Linked DNA regions of Arabidopsis thaliana. The protein of the gene in region 1 purifies or fractionates together with the protein of each later gene. This does not show direct contact. Each region holds a gene or a part of one and is shown in the gene's direction. Other genes may lie near its edges. The genes, in order: DRM3 and NRPE7.

Region 1 (6,961 bases):
GTATTAGGCAAACTTTGTGTGTGTGTATGAATCAATTTGATAAGATATGGATTGATTTCACATTTGAAGAATTTACATGTTTACATCGTTTCATGTTTTATCTTGTTAAAAGTCGCACTGTTTTGATAAAGACAAAGTGTTCATACATATTTTGAGTGAACTACACACATGGCTTATAGAATTGCCTATGAAACGATAGTTATGATCCTATGTTGTCATCGTTCACAAATGAGGGTTTTCTTATCGAGGCCCGTTGTGTAGTCTCCTTGGGCCCGGACACAAAGGCGGTAACCTAATTTATAACTAATTCCTTTATAAAAAAGACTAAAGGTGTGGAAGTAAAACCCTAATTACTATTTATTGAAACAATGACGAAGATATTTCGGATCTTCCTCTGGATTTGGCAGAGGAGGTGCTCTCTAGGGTTACGGCCAGGCAAAAACAGAAGCATGCTTCAAACTCTCTGGCTTCACAAGAGTAGCAGCATCACCATCACTTCCCCAAACAGTCTTAGCCAATTCGTAACACTTCTTATCATGATTTTTAGTTTAGTCACCACTTTTCTTTTTCTCAACGGCGAAGAAATCGTCGGATGTCGCATCCACTTCAAAGAAACCGTTGGGAGTCGCATCTCCGGTGATTTCTTCGCCGTCGATGGAGTAAACAAAGGCTGAGATTTCTTCTTCACTATCGGATTTGTTGAAACGAGAGAGAAATTTGAGAAAGTAGATTGAGAAAAAGAAAAGTGGTGACTTTACTAAAGATCATGATAAGAAGTGTTACGAATTGGGTAAGACTATTTGGGGGAAGTGTGATGCTACTACTAAAGAGTTTGAAGCCGAAAGTTGTGACAAACTGAGAAGGGAGCTAAGTGGAAGAGCGAAGCTCAATTAAGGGGGAGTGTTGGTCCGTAATTGAGTTTTCAGCTAACGGTTGTAAGTTTGTGTTGTTTCACTCAAAGGGCACAAGTAAAAAGAGACACAACTAATTGGGTTGTTGTGTCTATTTGTTTTTTTTTTTATATAAACTTAATATTGTATTGTCATGTAAATATTAACAAGTTTCAGTTCAATAAAACATTTTCTGTTTTGTTCTGTTGTTGTCTCTAAGGAGAAGAGATATTATCTCGTACCTCTTACCTTATTTCTTCTTTCTCTCAATATTCCAACCAGGCAACAAAGCATAGAAGAAACAAGTGAAGGAGTTTCATGCGATCATGATTTTGAAATATAGGGTTTATCTGATGAGCGTCAATCTAGACGGAATTCACAAAGACGACAACGTTGAATCTATAAAGCAGAAATGTAAACCATGTCATTAATTCAGTGCAAATCTAGCAACCTACACCATGCACGAAGCAAAGGAAGAAACCATGTCATTAATTAGTCCATTTACAAAATCTATAGATTGTTTCAGGCGTAGTTCTTGCTTTGTTTATTTTGCCATGTTCTTTGATGAAGATTAGTAAAAAAAATCTTGCATTAACAGAACCAATCACTCAACTTATTAATTTGTTTGATCATCTTTCAGGTACAATAGTAGTACTATATATACATTGGCCTCGACTAGTCTACGTACATTTGGGTCACATAACCTCGGTGCTCCAATTTGTTACAAACTAAACAAAACTGGGCCAAAAAAACATAATCTTTGTCGAGAAATAGCTCGAAATCTATTAATTATCTTTGCAAAATTTAATCTTTCTCAAAGCTTGGGAATTGAGAGTAGTTTCTTTCGTTTTTCATCAAGTTTTGGTAAATGATGTTTTTAGTGTATACAAATTTTAGCATCTGAAACATAAATTTAAAATTCTAAAAACTTGAAATATTAAAACAGAACTACAACATAGTTGTAATAGAAAGTTGGTCGAAGTTCCAAACTCTATGATCTGGACCGTTCGTTTTTTCCTCACGCGCTCGATCTACCGGACTGCTCAAAGGGAATCAATAAAATTCCGAATTAGTCTCGGCAGTGTAGTCCACGCGGCGCGCAACATTGCGATCAACTTCATAACTTTTTAGCTTCTCCTCCTCCGCACTGGGCTCGATTGGGTGAGACGCGGACCACTGCACAGGCATGCACCGTCTTCCTCTCTCTCGCTCTCTTTGTCGCAATCTCTGGAATTTGTGTGATTTTTCGGAATTGCTTTTTTAAGTGTCACTCGTGGTTGGTTTCATCTCTTAGTTCGAGGAGTGTTCTATTTTTGGGGCTTTATTGATTCCATCTTCTCCCTTGCCGTTTATGGGATAAAATCAACATCAATGAGGTTAATTCTTTTCCATTTAAAGTTCATCTTTTGTGTTATTTGGGGACACTGACATAATCTCTCTGGTATCTATCTGCAGGGCTTTCATGTGAGATTTTGTGTGTGAATTTTAATTCAAATGGTATGGAATTTGGCTACTTTGGGAATGTTATCTTTTGTTTTTTGTGTTGCATGTTTTTCATAAGTTTTTCTGGAATCTTGCAGGCTGATATGCGTAGACGAAATGGAAGTGGAGGTTCCTCTAATCATGAAAGGAATGAGCAGATACTGTTTCCAAAACCAGAGACCTTGGACTTTGATTTGCCCTGCGACACCTCTTTCCCTCAGCAGATTGGTGTATGTTTTGTTACCCTTTCTATACCATAAAGGACATAAGTGGCTAAGATTCTTAAACATCCACTGTGTCTACATTTTACTGTTTAGAACAAGTAGTGGTTTAGAAAGGTTCTTATTGTTTCATACTTGATGTGCAGGACAATGCTGCTAGTTCTTCTGGAAGTAATGTTAAGTCATTGCTGATTGAGATGGGATTTTGCCCAACTCTTGTTCAGAAAGCAATTGACGAAAATGGTATTCTTCAGTTTCCTGTAAAAAACTACCATGCATGCTAACTTTCATTTGGGGTATATATGATTACTGAGTTTGCCTCTTCGCATCCAGGTCAAGATGATTTTGAGTTGCTATTAGAGATTCTCACTAAGAGTACTGAAACAGAACCTCCTGGACCTAGCTTTCATGGGCTAATGGAACCCAAACCGGTAAAGCGCATAATGTGTGATCCCACATGTCTTGTCTTTCATTCTGTGTAATTTCTTAATGTTTCTTGCTTTTCTTTGACAGGAACCTGATATTGAATACGAAACTGACCGTATAAGGATTGCGTTACTAACTATGAAGTTTCCAGAAAATCTTGTTGACTTTGCACTGGATAGGCTTGGTAATGTATTCACAATGTCTTTGGCTTTGCATTCAAAATTCAAACATGTTACAAAGTTACACCTTTTTGTCCGTGTCTATTCATGGTTTAACATATTAGAATTTCTTCTTTTCAGGTTATTTTTTGAGTGATTAGACCTCGTGTACATTGCAAGACCAATTTCTCACTATTGCACGATATTTTTTCTTTGTCTTCTTATAGATTAACCATCTCTTCATACTGGAACTTCTGATTGTATGACATTTAATATAGGCAAACTAAGGAGGCTTATAGTATATTATAACTCTCTGAAAAGAGAAATAACATTTATGAAGCTGTTGTTTATTAATGTTAAAGTGGAAAATCCATTCCCTGTGACCGTATTAGAAACTTGTAAATAGTTTCTAAAAAATTGATACTTATACTATTCAAAGCTATATAGAAACTTAGCATGCAGATAGCAGCTATCATTTGGCCTATCCCCAAATCCTTTCTTCATGATTGTTTGTTCTGTGTGATAGGTAAAGACACACCAATTGATGAGATGGTGGACTTCATTGTTGCTGCTCAATTAGCTGAAAAGTATGCGGAGGAATCCGAAGATTCACTTGATGGTGCTGAGATCAATGAAGAAGATGAAGATGTCACTCCAGTTACTGCTCGAGGACCTGAGGTCTTTGGTGCTTTTTTGACATTAGCTGTTGATTTTATTGTCAATGCTTTTGTAGATTCCACTACCTTTCTTTTGTGTTCATTCTGTGTTGTTCATGTTGTTATTACCTTTATTACCTCTAACCTTTGTTTTGTGTTTTAAATTCAGGTTCCCAATGAACAATTGTTTGAAACAATGGACAAGACTTTGCGTTTACTGGAAATGGGATTCTCTAATGATGAAATTTCAATGGCAATTGAGAAGATAGGTGAGCAACTGAGGCACTTATCTGTTCATCCCATGACTGTTATATGTCTGAAAGAAAAAAATGTAGACATGAAACGTATCTTGTTTATGTTGTCGGGGGTGATTATGATACTTTTAGGGTGAAAGAAATCCTATCATTTGTTTTGCAGCCCGTCCTGTTGTACTGGTATATAATCTATTTTGCACCTCTTCAGGTACAAAAGGTCAGATTTCTGTCCTTGCTGAGTCAATTGTTACTGGTGAATTTCCTGCGGAATGCCATGATGACCTTGAAGATATAGAAAAGGTATGTACACTAATGTTTTTAATTAATTTTTACTCGACCTCCAATGATGCACTTGTAAAGTGAAGTGCTGAAACTAGAGCTTTTGCTGCTGCTACTGCACCTAAACCATCTCACACTCTTCTCTTAATTAAACTAAGATATTGTTGGAGTTTAACTCAATGATATTTGGTGTCACTGTAGAAAGTTTCAGCGGCTGCTCCTGCAGTGAATCGTACATGTCTTTCAAAGAGTTGGAGATTTGTTGGGGTTGGTGCTCAGAAAGAGGATGGTGGTGGGGGTTCGTCGAGTGGCACTGCTAATATAAAACCAGATCCTGGTATTGAGTCTTTTCCTTTCCCTGCCACTGACAATGTGGGAGAGACCTCGAGAGGTAAGCGACCAAAAGATGAGGATGAGAATGCCTATCCAGAAGAATACACTGGCTACGATGACAGAGGAAAACGGTTAAGGCCCGAAGATATGGGTGACTCAAGTTCGTTTATGGAAACCCCATGGATGCAAGATGAGTGGAAAGATAACACATATGAATTTCCCAGTGTAATGCAGCCACGTTTGTCCCAGAGTCTTGGTCCAAAAGTAGCCAGACGACCTTATTTCTTCTATGGACAGTTAGGTGAACTTTCTCCTAGCTGGTGGTCGAAGATCTCGGGTTTCTTGTTCGGAATTCACCCCGAACATGTAGATACTCGGTTGTGTTCAGCGCTCCGTAGGACAGAAGGGTACCTGCACAATCTTCCCACTGTTAACAGGTTTAATACCCTCCCGAACCCTCGATTAACTATACAAGACGCAATGCCACACATGAGGAGTTGGTGGCCACAATGGGATATCAGAAAGCATTTCAATAGCGGCACGTGTTCTAATATGAAAGATGCAACTCTTCTCTGTGAACGAATTGGTCGCCGTATAGCTGAATGCAAGGGAAAGCCTACTCAACAGGACCAGACTTTAATACTTCGACATTGTCACACCTCCAATCTCATTTGGATAGCACCAAACATCCTCTCACCCTTGGAGCCTGAACATTTAGAGTGCATTATGGGATATCCAATGAACCACACAAACATCGGTGGTGGAAGGTTGGCTGAAAGATTGAAGTTGTTTGATTACTGCTTCCAAACAGACACATTGGGTTACCATCTCTCTGTACTCAAGTCTATGTTTCCCCAAGGTTTAACAGTTTTATCACTCTTTAGCGGGATTGGTGGTGCGGAAATTGCATTGGACCGTCTTGGAATCCATCTAAAAGGCGTAGTCTCTGTAGAGTCCTGTGGATTGAGCCGTAACATACTGAAAAGATGGTGGCAGACTTCGGGACAAACCGGTGAGCTAGTGCAAATTGAAGAAATCAAAAGCTTAACGGCAAAGAGGCTGGAGACTCTGATGCAGAGATTTGGAGGATTTGACTTTGTCATTTGCCAGAACCCATCAACACCACTTGATCTCTCTAAAGAAATCTCAAATAGTGAAGCCTGTGAATTTGATTATACGTTGTTTAACGAGTTTGCTCGTGTCACGAAACGTGTCAGAGATATGATGTAGTGAAGTTGACCAAGAGCCTTTACGTCCTCAAGAACCTGGAGACTTGTCTAATCTCAGAAGGAGTCTTCCATTTTCTTTATCGTGGAGACTTTCAATTACGGAACTGTTTTTCTTGTTTTGCAGTTGATGCTTTAATGAATCAGTCTGTACCATAATCTTCATAGAAGCGTGGAATATCGTCTTTTTTATTTTTTTGCTATGTTACTTCTCGGAGAGATAAGCAGTGAATCATGCGGTCAATGTTGTTGTGTACTGTTCACAATTATGTATAATATTAGCACTTTTTTTAGCTCAATGTTGTTGATTGCATAATTCATACTCATCTTACGTCAAAAGTAACTGGAAATGATCTGAACTTCTGAAGTGTCTAATCCAAAATATAAACAAATCTAAGCCAGAGTAAAAAAAAAACTGTATGATTAGATTTGAAATAGAGAACCACTTGATTGATTGCACAGGAAAATCCTCAATGTTGAGTCACTGAGGCTTCTCGATCAAGTCTATTATTCAAGCCAACTTAGTTGCATTGTTAGCCTACAAGCATTGACTAGAGAGATAGAGAGAGAATAACAATGGGAGAGTCTGCAACCAGACTGCATCAGGATCTCTGGCTAACCTTGCCTCCTGTCAGCTTCGCTGACTCAAACAACATGTGATTGATGAGTCCCCGAGCAGCACTACATATACAGTACCAGAGAAGTTTGAGTCTTTCCAAACTTTTCAAATAGATGTATACAACATACTTATCCCAAGAGTATTCTGTAATATATGATCTCAAGCAGCTGTATATGTGTGTGTTTGTGTGAAACATCATCTTTTGCAGAAACATGCCTCAACGAACAAGTTTTACATCTGATCTAATTATAAGGTTTTAAGTTATCGTATTCAGTAGAGATTGGGGAAAAAAAGAAAACTCACTCATCTTTAAGCTTCTGAATCTTCTCAGGGTCTGTCTCATTCATGTGTTTCTTAAATTGTTGCCTCACCATACCAACCACTAGCTCAGTGTTGTGTTGCTGCAAGACACAAACG
Region 2 (3,977 bases), on another chromosome or scaffold:
CTAAGTTGTGATAAATTATAGGAAATAAATTTAATTCTTTAAAACAATCAAATTTCATCTATATTTATTATTTATTGTTGAAACTAAGAAACTAGCGGAGATTTGTAAAATATTTATTGAAAAAATGTTAATTCTTATTTTTTTTCAATGTAAATTCTTATTTTGAGTTAGTTAGTTTTTTTTTTTGCCAAATACAAAACACTTAGTAAATTCAAAGATAAGAATCTTATGTAAAGAAACAGTAAAAAAGAGATTAGAAGAAATCATGACCTTCCATCTTTCTCTTTTTTTATGACATGTGTTAATCAATTGATGAGATTTTGATACATGTAAAGAACTTCTTCTAATTAGATTTTGATCTATGCTAACATAAAAATGAAAAATACAATTTTTTGACAAAAAAAGTAAAACGTTTATATTAAAGTATATAGTTAAAAAGGATACACTTCAATGAAAATAAGAAAATTACATAAAAAAGGGAAAACCTTATTAAAAAGGGGAAAAGGTTATTAAGTAAAACTTTGTTTCTTAAAATGAGTAATTAACATAATCACATTAGCCGTTTCTTTAGGTGTCGAAGATGTTGTATGGAGGAAGAGACAACAGAGCATTTATTTTTCAACTGTACCTATGCGAAAGCTGTTTGGCGAGGCTCTGGAATATCAAACAGGTTACTCTATGACCCACGGACCCCATGGGAAGAAAAGTTGAGAGAGATCCTCAAGTGTAACACGGGGACAAGAACGCCACATCTTAAGCACTTACCTCTTTGGATCTTGTGGAGACTATGGATATCACGAAACAACCTCACCTTTCAACAAAGGAACTTTTCATGGCGAAAGGTAATACGACAAGCTCGAAGTGATGCAAAGGAATGGCATGATCAAGATGAAAGAAGTTTGGGAATGACGAACCCTCCGCAATTTCAGAACGTTGGTTTTCAAGGCGAATATCATTGGATGAAGCCGAATACAAACTGGATCAAATGCAACTATGATGGTAGCTTTATCAACGGACAACCGGCTAGTGCAGGATAGGTGATTAGAGACGACAGAGGCACCTTTAGAGGTGCAGGTCAAGCTAAAGGAAGACATGTAAACACAGCTATGGAAAGCGAATTTCAGGCACTAATTCTTGCAATGCAAAGCTGTTGGATTAAGGGATATACAAGAGTATGTTTTGAAGGCGATAACAAAACAGTGGTGGAACTGCTTCATGGTCGGCAACACAATTTCAATATTTTTAATTGGATTAGGGAAGCACGCATTTGGAGAGACAAGTTTAATGACTGCCAGTTTACTTGGGTTCGAAGAGATCACAACAAAGCGGCGGATATCTTAGCGAAACATAGAATACCATCTGATGCTTTGTCGCATTTTTACAACCTCATTCCTAATGTAATCACAAACGCATTATACCGGGATTTTAATCCCTATTTAATATGAGAAGCATGTTTGAGTAAAAAAAAAACATAATCACAACACGTGACAGACGACCAGATTTCAATGGAGATATTTTTTTAATCTAATTAGATTAAATAATTAAAAGGAAATATATATTAATTTGTATTTTTCTATCAATTTAGAGAAGAAAAAGTATATTTTCGAATATGATTAAAAAGTTTAATCTAATTTTAAATATTTGAGAATCAAATTTTCAAAGTTTTTAAATATATGAAATTAGTAATCTTAAAATGAAAAATTAATTAGTTTCTGAAAATATATTTAAAAGAAAATAGAGAAAAAGTGAATACTAATGGGCCAATAATAATATAGTCTCAGTAATAATGGGTCTTTTCAGCCCATCGACATGTAAACAAACCAAAATTGAAAGTCTCCGAGTGTTACTTCTCAGTCGATAGAGAGTTTGAAACAACAAAACAAACTCTCGCTTCTCGCATCGTTGATTCTCCAAAACCAGTTTTCACTCTCTATTGCCGATTCTCGTTTCGTTTGATATCTTAGGAATCTATAAACAAAGGCATGGGTTCAGTATTCTGTTGATTTTCTCAATCAATTTCTCAGCTATTTTCAGTCTTAAGGTCTTGGTCCATGGGTTGCTCGAGAAAATGTGGAAAAAGTGATGGTCTGAGTACTTAATCGTAAAATGCAAATACAAAGCTTTTGTGGGTTTATTAAAGTTGGTAACTTTTGATAGAATTTTGAGGACTCTTACTTGTTTACTTACATGCCTGCGTAGTGTTTGTTTAAATGCCTGTGAGAAATACTTTTTAGTGAAAAGCTCTTTTTTTTTTTTTGTTTAGTGTTCGTTTTAGTAGATATGTAATGTGAAACTAATTTCTGAATCTCTGTTTTGAGTACTGTAGAGTTATGAAATTGGTATTTTGCTAATGCATGTCTACATTGTGTCCAGATTCTTATAAAAACAGAAACTTTGATCTTATCTTATGGATGAATTACTTTAGGTTACTGATGATGATTTGTATAACCTAGATGTTCGTTTCAGAGAAAAACCTGGAAATTACTGTCTACTTCCTTTTCCTTTCTCTGTGATCTTTCAGTTTTGATTTTTTCCAGAGTCTTTCTCATATCTTTCCTTTGAGAAGAATGTGATGATAGTAAAGTATTTCTATTCTCTGGATCAATGATGATAGCTATGTGACATTGCTTTGATTTGGTTTTGAAGGTTGAACAATGTTTCTCAAAGTCCAATTACCATGGAACGTGATGATTCCAGCTGAAAACATGGATGCCAAAGGGCTGATGTTGAAGAGAGCTATACTAGTAGAGTTACTAGAGGCGTTTGCTTCCAAGAAAGCAACCAAGGAGCTTGGCTACTACGTGGCAGTCACAACTTTGGACAAGATTGGAGAAGGCAAAATCAGGGAGCACACCGGTGAAGTTTTGTTCCCGGTAATGTTCAGCGGAATGACTTTCAAGATCTTCAAAGGAGAGATAATTCACGGTGTGGTGCACAAGGTGTTGAAGCACGGTGTCTTCATGAGGTGTGGTCCAATCGAGAATGTTTACCTCTCCTACACGAAGATGCCGGATTACAAGTATATCCCTGGAGAGAACCCGATCTTCATGAATGAGAAGACGTCTAGGATTCAGGTTGAGACTACAGTGAGGGTTGTTGTGATTGGGATAAAGTGGATGGAAGTAGAGAGGGAGTTTCAGGCGTTGGCTAGCTTGGAAGGTGACTATCTTGGACCATTATCTGAAGAGTGATCTGCTTGATCTCTTCATGTGATGGCGTTTTTGGGCAATCTCTTATGTCTATATAACTCGGCTTTAGTTCATGTTTGGTAGTAACTAGTAACTACTCTCTAGCTGTGCAAATAATGAAAACATTGATCTTTGAATGTAATGAAATCCTTCACCTTCAAGAGGAAAGATTGGTCTAATTTAGGTTTTTTGTATTGGTAATGATTTTTGCTTGCTTGTGAGTCTCTTCCATATGATAAGCTCAGATTGGAATTAGACTCTGAAATCGTAGTCAAACCGGATATATAAGAAATATTTCAAACCAAAGTTAACCGAACCAATCTCAGAGCACGATTATGGATTAATCATCACTCATCACCATCGAGAAATCTCTAGTTTCAACAGGTCTCCAGATTTCGAAGCGGCGTATGAGTTTTTTTTTGCCAGTGACTGTTTCTGCGCCGATTGAAGCGGTGCCGCTTTGAATATTGCTACTTTTGCTCGCTATGTCAATTCAAAGTCTAACAGCCCAACCCAATAATCGTTGAGTTTGGGAAGACGAAAGAAAGCCCACGAGAATCACATGAGAATGTGATTGCTTGGCAGGTCTAAAACCCTAAATAAAAAATTTTCAATGTTTGGATTTGTGGATGACACAGGATTGGTTAATACTCGTTCTTGGCCCGACTCTCCTTTCCTTCGGTAATCGAATAGTAATATTTATTTAGTTAATATCTTTAGCTAATAGCCAACAATTTTATTTCGATAAAAAGAAGTATCTGAAAAACACTTTGATAACAATTAGATAGT

Evidence for each region.
Region 2: the proteins of DRM3 (region 1) and NRPE7 purify together in Arabidopsis thaliana (affinity purification with mass spectrometry, with the first as the bait; one study listed by BioGRID). This does not show direct contact.

The regions. Positions count from the first base shown.
Region 1 is NC_003074.8:5,908,262-5,915,222, reverse strand, and holds DRM3 (S-adenosyl-L-methionine-dependent methyltransferases superfamily protein), read left to right. Parts: upstream 1-1,877; 5' UTR 1,878-2,074; exon of another isoform or gene 2,075-2,184; 5' UTR 2,185-2,266; intron 2,267-2,345; 5' UTR 2,346-2,384; coding exon 2,385-2,387; intron 2,388-2,470; coding exon 2,471-2,602; intron 2,603-2,739; coding exon 2,740-2,836; intron 2,837-2,926; coding exon 2,927-3,024; intron 3,025-3,106; coding exon 3,107-3,203; intron 3,204-3,221; exon of another isoform or gene 3,222-3,633; coding exon of another isoform or gene 3,634-3,703; coding exon 3,704-3,855; intron 3,856-4,002; coding exon 4,003-4,102; intron 4,103-4,295; coding exon 4,296-4,387; intron 4,388-4,567; coding exon 4,568-5,929; 3' UTR 5,930-6,289; downstream 6,290-6,961. Other genes in the region: EMB2786 (COMPLEX 1 LYR-like protein), read right to left, coding at 6,528-6,606, 6,848-6,945. UniProt on the Arabidopsis thaliana protein: Catalytically inactive DNA methyltransferase that acts as regulatory factor for DRM2-mediated DNA methylation. Required for maintenance of non-CpG DNA methylation.
Region 2 is NC_003075.7:8,405,714-8,409,690, reverse strand, and holds NRPE7 (RNA polymerase Rpb7-like, N-terminal domain-containing protein), read left to right. Parts: upstream 1-1,799; 5' UTR 1,800-1,980; exon of another isoform or gene 1,981-2,139; intron 2,140-2,646; 5' UTR 2,647-2,654; coding exon 2,655-3,191; 3' UTR 3,192-3,444; downstream 3,445-3,977. UniProt on the Arabidopsis thaliana protein: DNA-dependent RNA polymerase catalyzes the transcription of DNA into RNA using the four ribonucleoside triphosphates as substrates.